Linked DNA regions of Sus scrofa. The protein of the gene in region 3 binds, or shares a complex with, the protein of the main gene of each other region. Links are inferred from orthologs where the notes say so. Each region holds a gene or a part of one and is shown on either strand. Other genes may lie near its edges.

The links.
Region 1: the proteins of HRAS (region 3) and PLCE1 are in contact, whole or in part, in a crystal structure (PDB 2C5L), measured with the Homo sapiens proteins. The link is inferred for Sus scrofa from reciprocal best matches to the Homo sapiens genes HRAS and PLCE1. Residues at the interface, in NP_001123914.1 of Homo sapiens: Ile24, Gln25, His27, Val29, Glu31, Asp33, Ile36, Glu37, Asp38, Ser39, Tyr40, Arg41, Glu63, Tyr64; in NP_057425.3 of Homo sapiens: Phe2138, Pro2146, Glu2147, Gln2148, Pro2149, Arg2150, Thr2151, Val2152, Ile2153, Lys2154, Lys2171, Tyr2174, Ser2175.
Region 2: the proteins of HRAS (region 3) and MAPKAP1 are in contact, whole or in part, in a crystal structure (PDB 7VV8), measured with the Homo sapiens proteins. The link is inferred for Sus scrofa from reciprocal best matches to the Homo sapiens genes HRAS and MAPKAP1. Residues at the interface, in NP_001123914.1 of Homo sapiens: Gln25, Asp33, Ile36, Glu37, Asp38, Ser39, Tyr40, Arg41, Leu56, Glu63, Tyr64, Met67; in NP_001006618.1 of Homo sapiens: Glu277, Ser278, Phe280, Ala286, His287, Gly288, Phe289, Ser290, Leu291, Ile292, Gln293, Arg311, Arg312, Lys313.

The regions. Positions count from the first base shown.
Region 1 is NC_010456.5:105,698,602-105,702,248, reverse strand, and holds part of PLCE1 (1-phosphatidylinositol 4,5-bisphosphate phosphodiesterase epsilon-1), read right to left. Parts: intron 3,577-3,647; coding exon 3,454-3,576; intron 3,368-3,453; coding exon 3,231-3,367; intron 319-3,230; coding exon 80-318; intron 1-79. UniProt on the Homo sapiens protein: The production of the second messenger molecules diacylglycerol (DAG) and inositol 1,4,5-trisphosphate (IP3) is mediated by activated phosphatidylinositol-specific phospholipase C enzymes.
Region 2 is NC_010443.5:266,311,622-266,315,268, forward strand, and holds part of MAPKAP1 (target of rapamycin complex 2 subunit MAPKAP1), read right to left. Parts: intron 1,084-3,647; 5' UTR 1,015-1,083; coding exon 756-1,014; intron 1-755. UniProt on the Homo sapiens protein: Component of the mechanistic target of rapamycin complex 2 (mTORC2), which transduces signals from growth factors to pathways involved in proliferation, cytoskeletal organization, lipogenesis and anabolic output.
Region 3 is NC_010444.4:299,660-303,358, reverse strand, and holds HRAS (GTPase HRas), read left to right. Parts: upstream 1-819; 5' UTR 820-975; intron 976-2,121; 5' UTR 2,122-2,148; coding exon 2,149-2,259; intron 2,260-2,430; coding exon 2,431-2,609; intron 2,610-2,687; coding exon 2,688-2,847; intron 2,848-2,933; coding exon of another isoform or gene 2,934-2,996; exon of another isoform or gene 2,997-3,015; intron 3,016-3,273; coding exon 3,274-3,393; 3' UTR 3,394-3,697; downstream 3,698-3,699. UniProt on the Homo sapiens protein: Involved in the activation of Ras protein signal transduction. Ras proteins bind GDP/GTP and possess intrinsic GTPase activity.

The DNA.
Region 1 (3,647 bases), on a different chromosome or scaffold from region 3:
AAAGAATAAATGTTTAGCAGAAAATAATTAGAATGGTCAGAGGTTTACATATTTGTGTACATGTAAAACAGGTACAAACCTGGATGATGCTGAGAATTTCATCATAAGTGCAGTGTTCTCCTTGGCAATTCACTAGGAAGTCATTGAGCTGGAGGATGCCAATCCCAAATACGCCCAGGGATGTGCTCTCCACCCCAGTGCCGTTTGTCACGATACTTGCAGCAGCAATGGCATCAGATATTTGCCTCTGGTTGTCAGACAGCTGCTGTTTACTCTTAATGAATAATCCCAAATCCGAGACATTTCTGGTCAACAAATCTGAAATAGAACCACCCACAGAACATGGACAAACTAGCTAGCATCTTTCATAAAGTTCATTTTGGATATAATGTTGCTATGGGATTACTAAGCTGGAGAGACCCTTCACTAATCTGTCTAAACAAGCCATCAAGCTTATTGCTTCTTCCTGTCTTCACAGAGTCAAAGAATAAAAAATGAATAAATGAAAAAAAAGAGACAAGAGCTAGATGAATGATCTTGAAAGACCATAACCTTTGGCATTAGATAGAAACTAAATGTAAATTCAATTAGGGACTTTAGGCTGAATTCAGGCTTTGGGTTTTTTTTTTCCTTCTTTTTAGGGCCACACCTGCGGCATATGGAAGTTCCCAGGCTAGGGGTCAAATCGGAGCTACAGCCGCTGGCCTATGCCACAGATACAGCAATGCCAGACCTGAGCTGCATCTGCGACCTACACCACAGATCACAGCAACACAGGATCCCCAACCCACTAAGAGAAGCCAGGGATCCAACCTGCACGCTCATGGATACTAGTCAGATTGTTTCCATTGAGCCACAATGAGAACTCCCAGGCTTTGGTTTTTGAGAATAACTACATCTACATTTTTATGTTTACAGAGATGGAAGACGTACCCTTAAGATTACAGTTTTTCTCTAATTTAAAAGCGTAACTGTAAACATTTGTGTGCAGGTATCTGTGGGAATATAAATTTTCAACTCATTTGAGAAAATACCAAGGAGTACCACTGCAGGATCATGTGGTAAGAGTGCTTTTAGTTTGAAAGAAATTAACAAATTTCCTTCCAAAGTGGCGATACCCTTTTACATTCCCACCAGTAATGCCACAGCCGCTCCACATCTGCACCCACTTTAGCACATGGCCATTCTAATTCTTGCCACTCTGAGGAAAGTCTGTCAGTTTCTTGCAGAACTAAGTATAGACTTATCATAAGATCTGGCAATTATGTTTCTAGGTGTTTATCCAAAAGAGCTGAAAACAGGTCCACACTAAAAAAACTGTACTCCTAGTATTTATAGCAGCTTTATTCACAATTGTTAAAACCTGGAAGCAATCAAGGTGTCCTTCGGTAGGTGAATGGATAAACAAACTATGATAATATACAATGAAATTGTAATGAAATATTATTAGGCAATAAAAATATATGATCTGTGAAGCCATGAGAAGACACTGAGGAACCTTAAATCCACATTGTTAAATGAAAGGAGCAAGTGTGAAAAGGCTGCATACTGTATGATTCCAACTATTTGTCATTCTGGGAAAGGCAAAACTATGGAGACAGAAAAGAGATCAGTGGTGGCCAGGGATTCAGAAGGAGAGTGGGCACAATGAACATATGAAACACAGAAGATTTTTCAGAAACTATTCTGTATGTATCTACTGCCATGGTAGATATATGTCATTATACTTTTGTCAAAACCCATAGAATGTACAACACAAACAGTGAACACTAATATAAATTATCAGCTTCAGTTAATTTATATATCACTATTGGCTAAACTGTAACAAATACACCACACTAATGCAAGCTACTACTAAACAGAGGAAACCACATGTGTGTGGAGAGAGTGTGTATGGGAGCTCTCTGCTCATTTTTCAGTAAACCTGAAATTGTCCTAAAAAAATAAAATCTATTTGTTTTTCAAAGAGTGTAACCACTTGACTAATCATAGTTATACACATTTATGACTAAAATTGAAAAAGGTTAATATTCTTAGCTAATGGATAATATGTTTTTAAATAGTTAAAAAGCAGATGTGTGAAAGAGAGCAGTTTTTCTTTTTTCTTTTCTACTGTTTACAGTTTCCAGCAAGAACAGAAGAAAAATAATAGGCTTCAAATGCATGGGTGGTGATGGTAATGGTGGTGGTGTGAGTGGGACACAGGAATTAGACATTCTGGTTGACATATTAGGAAAAATGTCCTGGATGGTCAGACAGTAGGGCTCTGCTGAGGTCACTAAACACTCTCCTGCAAAGGATGGACGGGCTGAGCACCCAGCTGCCTGGAGGCAGGGAAGAGACAGGTAGTTTGCAACTGGGATGTCCCACACACCTCCTGGACATTTGGGAATGGGTGGGAAAGGGTTTTTAGCTGTCAGAATAACTGGAAGGCTCTACTGGCTAAATATTCTGGAATCCATGGACAGATTCACACAATGATGAATTTCCTTGTCCAAAGTGCTAATAGTACATACTCATCTTCATAATACCACCGTTAGAGAAATAATTCTCTAAGCATTTCACCATGCTCCAGGCAGCAGTATCCCATGTGAGAGAGGCTAAGGAGTTGTGTGATAGGATCAATAACCTTCACTTTTTCCCTTTTATTTAATTTGTAATTAAAGTGTAGTTGATTTACAATGTTGCGTTAGTTTCACGTGTATAGCGAAGTGATTCAGCTATATACATATATCTATTCTTTTCCATTATAGGTTATTACAAGATATTGAATATGGTTTCCAGTGCTATACAATAGGCCCCTGTTGGTTTTATATTTTATATATAGTAGTGTGTATATGCTAATCCCCAACTCCTAATTTATCTCTCCCCTACCCCTTTTCTCCTTTGGAAACCCTAAGTTTGTTTTCTAGGTCTGTGAGTCTGTTTTGGTTTTGTAAATAGGTTCCCTTGTATTATTTAGATTTTAATTAATAATTAATTAATTAATTGTGGCTGCAGCATGTGGAAGTTCCCGGGTCAGGGATCGAACCCACGCCACAGCAGTGGCCTGAGCCACTGCAGTAACAATGCTGGATCCTTAACCCACTGCACCACAAAGGAACTCCTGTATCACTTTTTTTAGATTCCACATATAAGTGATATCATATGATATTTGTCTTTAATCTGTCTCTAACCTTCATTTTTAGATAGAATGTTCTCCAAAGGAATTATTAAACTGTCACACAAACCTAGATCAGGCTGAAGACCGCTGGTGTTTTCATCAATGGTCAGGTTGGTGTAGAGGGGGGCCGGCTCAGAGCCAGCTCGGTCGCAGGGCACGGCGTAGATGTCAAAGAGATCCTTCAGGTCCTTGCGGCTCCTCACACTGGACACAGGATGGAAAACATCTTTAGCATTGTTATAACAAGGTGAGGGTAGGAAGAGAAAAGCTAAGAAGAAAGCCAGCCATACCTGAATGATTTGAACAGCTCGACAAATTCCACAAAACTCATGTTGCTGTCTGAAACCATGAAGCTCTGAAAGCCCTTCATTCCTCCTTTGATCCGCCCATGCCAGCTGCTGCTGCTCCAGGCACTGCAACAAAGACATGGCCTTAATGGGTGGAACTGGGGCCAGGTATGTCATTCTGCCCCAAGAGATGGTCT
Region 2 (3,647 bases), on a different chromosome or scaffold from region 3:
TCAATCCCTGGCCTTGCTCAGTGAGTTACGGATGCAGCGTTGCCGTGAGCTGTGGTGTAGGTCACAGATGTGGCTCGGATCTGGCGTGGCTGTGGCTGTGGCAAAGGCCGGCAGCTGTAGCTCCGATTTGACCCCTAGCCTGGGAACCTCCAAATGCCACTGGTGGGGCCCTAAAAAGAAAAAAAAAAAAAAAAAAGAAAGAAAGAAAGAAAAAAAGAAAAGAAAGTACTATATCAAAAGCAGAAGTATCTTTTCTAATCTCACACCCAAGGTGGGACTTCCTACTAAAACCAGCCCTAACAAACATTCAGCTGTCTCCCTCCAATTCCCCATCTCCCTACAATTCCTCCAGCGACTTACACAGTCTTGGGCAGCGATACTCTTTGGCTGGTCTACTAAGGGATCTTTATCATGTCAGCCCGAAATCTGCCTCCAGGTAGTCTGTCACTCTGTGAAGATAACCCAAAACGATCCACTTCTCTCTACATGGTGACTGCTCAGAAACACAACATGCAACTTTCCCACCTATTCTTCCTCTATCTACTTCCTAATTCCTCTGCTGTCTACTTCCTTCTAATAAATCATTCCAGAGGCTTTCTTCATTCACAGTGGCAGAGATGGAGACATTGCTTAGAATTACTGTTAGCACAATACATGTATGTTCCCCATTAAACTTCTTCCAATATTATACATTATTCTGTAAGATTGTTTACTGATTTAAAGGTCAGAAAACACGACTAAAAGGCAATGTTTACCTGTATTTGAGCGTCTTCTAATACCAAAGTCCCAACTTGAGGTAATATCGACTGACTGGGCATATACATAGCCCTGAGTCTCACCATTGCTTCCCTGAATTTCTGACCCACTGTCTCCAGGCACTGAAGGAGGATGAATCTTCTCTAGGTCAACATCATGATCAATGAGAACCATCTCACACATTCCTGTGTCATCACTGGTCACATGTGACTGTCGAATATGAGCTAGAATGATAGTTGGATTGTCCAAGAAGGCCATCCTTTTTGTGGGCCAATTTTCTTAAAAGGCTATTTTCTCCTCTTCATATTGTTTCACAGGCTCACCTACCTAGAAACATGATGCACACAGCAACATTTAAGAATAAGGCAGAAAAGGACTGAATCATTTTTCAAACAAATTCAATGTGGTAAAATGCTACTTTGAAAATCAACATTTATCCCTGTATCTAGGAGCTTAAAAGGATTAAGTCTAAGCTGAAAGGAAATCCTTATAAGCACTAGAGGCTACTGCTCTAGTCAATGAGATCTCCAAGGTATGTTATCAGAGAGGATGGCTTGCTCTTTTACAAAACAAATAGCAGTAACTCCTTAGGCCACTCACAGCACATAACTACTGTGAAAACAATAAAATTTCCTTTCTTTCTCCCTTCATTCCCATGCAAACTCATTACTTTATAAGGTCATAGGGGAACAAGATGTATTTTCCTCAGATGACGTGTTAAAGCATAAAACTGTATGCCTTCAGTTTACATCTGCCCCTCCTGCCACATGGTTGTGAAATGTCTAAAAGGGCACAGACAATGCCTTCTGGATTACCAGGAATTTTACAAAAATGTACCACCGAAGTCATTTTGTCCAATAAATATATTTTCCTTTCTTCTGGTTTAAGAGAGTACTGTGCTTTTAAAATCAAACTTATTAATCAAACTTGTCTGCTACTAGATTAATTTCTTATTTTAGAAATCTAATTATAAGAACTGCTTCCTGAATCCTGTTAAAACTGTAATGATGTTTATTCTGGGAACAAAATGGTACCTCCTCAGTTAAATGGGAATACTCAGCAAAGATAATATTCCAAAAGCGTAGTTAAGAACCTAAGGCCTTTTAGGCAGAACTAGGTTCAAATCCTCGCCCTATCACTTGCTAACTATGCGATCTTGGTCAAAATAACCTTAACCTCATTGACCCTCTTTCTCTTTCTTCATTTATAAAACGAGGGTTGCAGGGATAAAAGGATATATATAAAATTATGCAGGTAAAATGCTCAAAAGAGTACCTGATTTAAAATTAGCTGCTATTAATAATGATGATAATTGTAAAAACATCATTACCAATTTCAGTTTTCAATACTTGTTTAAAGTAATCCTAAAATATATCAACAATTTATCCTTCTCTCATAAGTTCAGAGCAATAAAATAAGTGTGTGCTTCCTCTGTAACAGAGGACTCCGCAGGTCATCTGGGTCACCTCCCTCTTCCTCTAAAACCATTAGGAAGTGCAAGGAGTGGGAAAGCTGGACTGAATACATTCCTAGGAACAGTCCTAGAAGACAGCCATTTTTAGGAAGACCTAAAGCACCAGGTTTTCTTATTATTTGTTTCTTCTAGAAATGGAACATAGAGGGAAATCTAGCTAAAAAACCATTATAACTAACTGAGGTTTTAAAAATTTGTCTGGCAACATATCACTGTATTGACATCACTCGGGGGATCTTAAAGATACTGCAATTAAGAGGAAGTTTAGAAATTCCCGATGTGGCTCAGTGGTAACAAATCCGACTAATATCCATGAGGACACAGGTTCGACCTCTGGGCTCGCTCAGTGGGTTAAGGATGCGGCATTGCCATGAGCTGTAGTGTAGGTCGCAGATGCGGTTTGGATCTGGCATTGCTGTGGCTGTGGTGTAGGCTGGAAGCTGCAGCTCTGATTCTAACCCCTAGCCTGGGAACTTCCATATGCCGTGGGTGTGGCCCTAAAAAGACAAAAAAAAAAAAAAAAAAAAAAAATTTAACTGAGAAGCATCTCTAATCAAGGGAATTATATTAACCTTTTTTCCCTTAAATATTCACTAAGTGCTTATTTTACACTGAAGCTAATAGGAAATACAAAAGTGAATAAGGTTATGCCTGAGTCAAAAAGTTTATACCCTAATATAGACCTAGTATATCTCCTAACATTATCAGATTCTAAGTGTCAAAGTTCTGAGACACTTAGTCTCAGAAACATTAATGTCAGCCCACTACTTTAAGTGTTTTAATCAGAAAAAAAAACTACAGAAAAAAAGGGGAGCATGTAAGTTTCACTTGTAAAAATCAGAACTTCTTATACAAGCAGAAAGAGATGTAAACAACCATAGACAGTATGTGTTTTCTAACAGAACCAGAGAATCACAGATCAACAGAGTTACAAACATCTGGTAGCAATCACTATAAACATCTCTTATGCAAGTAAGGCAACTAGTCACCAGCAAAGGGGCAGGTATTTTCAACTTCATATTGATTAGTTCACCCTTGCAAAATCAAGGCCTTCGGTGAGAAATCACCCATTTAATGGATGCTCTGGCACCAAAAAGTCAAAGGGCAAAGCAGCAAAAGTATACTGGAGTATCTTGCACAGAATCTTTTTTGGGAAAATGGACCTGCTCCATCACCTCTTATGAAGAAAAGAGTTGGGGGCAAACACTTTTGAAGGCACTTACCCATTCCCTAAATATACGAATGACGGAAGCCCCCAAACACCGCACCACGTGCAGCTATCTTCTCTATTAGTACACTATGACCTCGTACAATGAGAAGTCTGTATGAATCACTCAACAAATCCTTCATCAGTATCAGTTCTGACAGGGAACTCCCACGGGACTGCCACAGGAAACATGCTTTCCACCTCCTACAA
Region 3 (3,699 bases):
TTGGGGGAAGCTGGTGATGAGGGATGGGGAAGAGGGGCCCTTCTCCGAGCGCCAGTCGCTACGTGAGTAGCCCCCCCCAACCCCCGGTAAAAACACTTGGCCAGATTCAATGCTCCGTGGGCTCAGACGCCCCCGTCAGGCCCTAGACGTAAGATTTGAGCTGAGACCAACGACCCCGCCGAAGCTGCCAGGCGTCCCGGGAGCGGTAGGAGCGCCTCCAGGAGCCACCTGCCCCTGCCCCTCCTCCCCGCAGCCGCTCCGATTTTCTACGGCCCCGGCTCCCCGCGTGTCTTCGGTGCTGACCTCGCGGGCTCCATCTTCCCTGAGGCTCGGCCCCCGGGCTGTCCCCTCCGCTCCCCGACCCCCTGCGGTGGGCTGCGCAGCGCAGGGAGAGCCTGGGGCGCGTGGGCGCACCCGTGAGCAACTTCGAGGGCCGAGGGGCCCGGTGCGGGGCTCGAGTTGGGCCCTGAGGACCCTGCCCCAGTCCGCAACGGGCCTCGACCCGCTTCTCCGCGGGATCTCTGTCTCCCTGAGGGCCCTGCTTATTCCTGGGAGAGTCCAGGCCGTCCACGGAGCAGCTTCCTCCCCCGGACCCCACAGCCGGCCCACCAAGACCCACAGGCCGCGGCCCACGCGGGCCACCAGGGCCGACACCGCCCTCCGCGCCGCTCCCGGAAGCCCCGCCCGGCCCGAGGCATCTGACAGGCGGGCCTCCCGGCCAATCGGGGCGGGGCGAAGAGGCTCTAGGGCGGGGCCCGGCAGGCGCAGCCAATGGCGGGCCGCGCCTGGTTGACGGACGGGGGCGAGGCGGGGCGTGCGCGGGCCCGGTCGAGAGTCCGCAGCCAGCTGCCGGAGCCGCACCCGCCGCGGACGGAGCCCATGCACTGGGCGAGCCGCGCGCCCTGGCCCCGGCCCCCGCCGCCGCCCCCGCCCCGGCCCCGGCCCCGGCCCCGGGGGCAGTCGCGCCAGTGAGCGGTGAGTGCGGCGGGGACCACGGGGGGCGGCGGGGGCCGGGCCGGACGGGGGCCCGCGGTTCTCGCTGGGCGCGCGGGCGCGCGGGGGCGCAGGTGAGCCGCGGGCGGCGGCGGGCGGGGCGCTGCGGCTGGGGCTGCAGGCGGCGGCTGGTACGCCCTGCCTCGCCCAGGCCAGCCCCTCCGACTCCAGGTCCCGGGCCCTGTCTTCTGGGGCCCCGCAAGCGCTCTCAGTCTGTTCTCTGACTGCTCCCCGAGCCGAGGCCCGCCCATGACCATGGCCCTGGGCAAAGTCTCTCCCCCTGCAGCGTTCCAAGGATCCCTGCGAAGAACTCGGGCACCCGGCGGCCATCACACACACCAGGCAAACCTAGAGTTTAGGAAGTCACTGCCCTCTGTCCCCGCAGGGTACCTACCCTGTCTAAACATCTCCAGCTGGGGCTGGGGGGCCTTGGCCCCAGGCCCTTTTTTTCCCTTCTCGCTTGTTCCCTTGTGCCACACAAGGTCTTTTCCTGTTGATCAGCTCCTGCTTCCTGGAGCCCTGGCCCCTGCCGGCCTCTTCACCTGCCTTGGTTTATGTTCCCCAAAGTTCTTATGCCGAGAGGGCGCCGCAGGTTTCCCTTTATTTTCACTTATGTGAGTCTGGCTTGGAGCGTGGCCTGAGCTTGTCGGTAGGGGTTCCTCCCGACTGCCTGTCACCCTGTGCCTGGAACAGCACCTGGCATGCAGTAGGCACTCAGTGAATACTTGTCAAATGCACCAGCATGCCCGGAGGGGCCTGGAGCTGGTTGTTGGCTGCCACAGGCCTGTCTGGGCATGCTGCCTGGCCCGCCACTGTGGCAAGACCTGTTCTCATGGGGGGCGCTTGTAACCTCAGCCCGCGGTGCCTCCAGTTCAGGCTTTTTGCCTATCCAGCACCTTCTAATTCGGGTGCGTGCCTGGGAGATGCTCCCTCCTGTCAGCCCTGCCTCTGGGGCCGGCTCCCTGCTTCTCTCCCGCAGTCATTAAGTGCAGCTGGAGGTGCCACAGGTGCGCCGCGGGGCCGCGGTTGTGGCTGCGACCCCTGTTACCTGGATGTACGGGCCCTGGGAGCTCAGCGGGCCTGTCTTGCATGGTCTGGCCACGCTGAATGCTGCTTCCTCCACTGCAGTCCTGTGCTGTGGCCTCCTGAGGAGCGATGACGGAGTATAAGCTGGTGGTGGTGGGCGCTGGAGGTGTGGGGAAGAGTGCCCTGACCATCCAGCTTATCCAGAACCACTTTGTGGATGAGTACGACCCCACCATAGAGGTGAGCCTCCAGCCCGCATCCCGATGTGGGCTTGTCTTCTGCCCGCTCTGCAGGACGGGTTCCCCTCGTCACAGGTCCTGGGCGGGCACGAGAGGAGCGCGGGAGGGGCTGGTGGTGTGAACAGCCCATCCCGGGCGGGCCAGAGGTCCCTAAGTGGTGTCCCCCCCTCAGGACTCCTACCGGAAGCAAGTGGTCATTGACGGGGAGACGTGCCTGCTGGACATCCTGGACACCGCGGGCCAGGAGGAGTACAGTGCCATGCGGGACCAGTACATGCGCACCGGGGAGGGCTTCCTCTGCGTGTTCGCCATCAACAACACCAAATCTTTCGAGGATATCCACCAGTACAGGTGAGCTGCCCGCGGGCCTCGCTTGGGGGCCCAGAGCACGCCGGCACCCTGCCCGCTGGCTCACACCTCCCCTTGCAGGGAGCAGATCAAGCGGGTGAAGGACTCGGACGACGTGCCCATGGTGCTGGTGGGGAACAAGTGTGACCTGGCCGCGCGCACCGTGGAGTCTCGGCAGGCCCAGGACCTCGCTCGCAGCTATGGCATCCCTTACATCGAGACCTCAGCCAAGACCCGACAGGTGAGCCGGAGCCCCGCCCCCAGCCGGCCAGGGCCCCGCCCCGCCCCGCCCGCAGCAGCGCTCACCGCCCCTCTCCCTCGACACAGGGCAGCCGCTCTGGCTCTGGCTCCGGCTCCGGGACCCTCTGGGACCCTCCGGGACCCCCGTGACCCAGCAGCCCCTCCTGCTGTAAGTGTCCCCGGATGGAAGGGGGGAGGTGGAGGTCCCCGGAGAGAGCTGCCCTGAGCCAGGCCGGAGCGGTGACCCTGGGGGCCCCCCCCGGGGGGGGCAGTCCCCTGTCGGCCCTGACCCCTTCGTGGGCTGTGGGGGAGCTGCTGAGGAAGAGGCCTCCTGACCGGTGGCCCTGGGGCCCCTGCTCCCCGAGTGTGGGCCAGGGGCGGGGCGGCGCCGCGGCGGGGCGGCCCTGAGCCCGCGCTCTCGTCCCAGGGGGTGGAGGACGCCTTCTACACGCTGGTGCGCGAGATCCGGCAGCACAAGGTGCGCAAGCTGAGCCCGCCCGACGAGGGCGGCCCCGGCTGCCTGAGCTGCAAGTGCCTGCTCTCCTGACACCGCCGCTGCCCCGTCTGCGGACCTTCTGCGGGGCCTCCATGCAGCTGGGCGCTGGGGCGCAGAGGTGGCGGATGCGGGGAGGAGGCGCACGCGGAGGAAGGAGGAAGGAGGAAGGAAGGAAGTGCCGCCGGCGCCCGGCCAGCCCCGGTCGGCGGCCACAGTGGCCGCAGGCCTCCCAGGACGCTTTGCACGGACTGTCGTGGACTGACGCCACTGGCACCCCAGCTGTCACTCTCCTCCAGCCCCCTCCCCGGCCCGCTGGGCACAGGCTGAATCGCAGTAAATTATTTGATGGTCTTGACC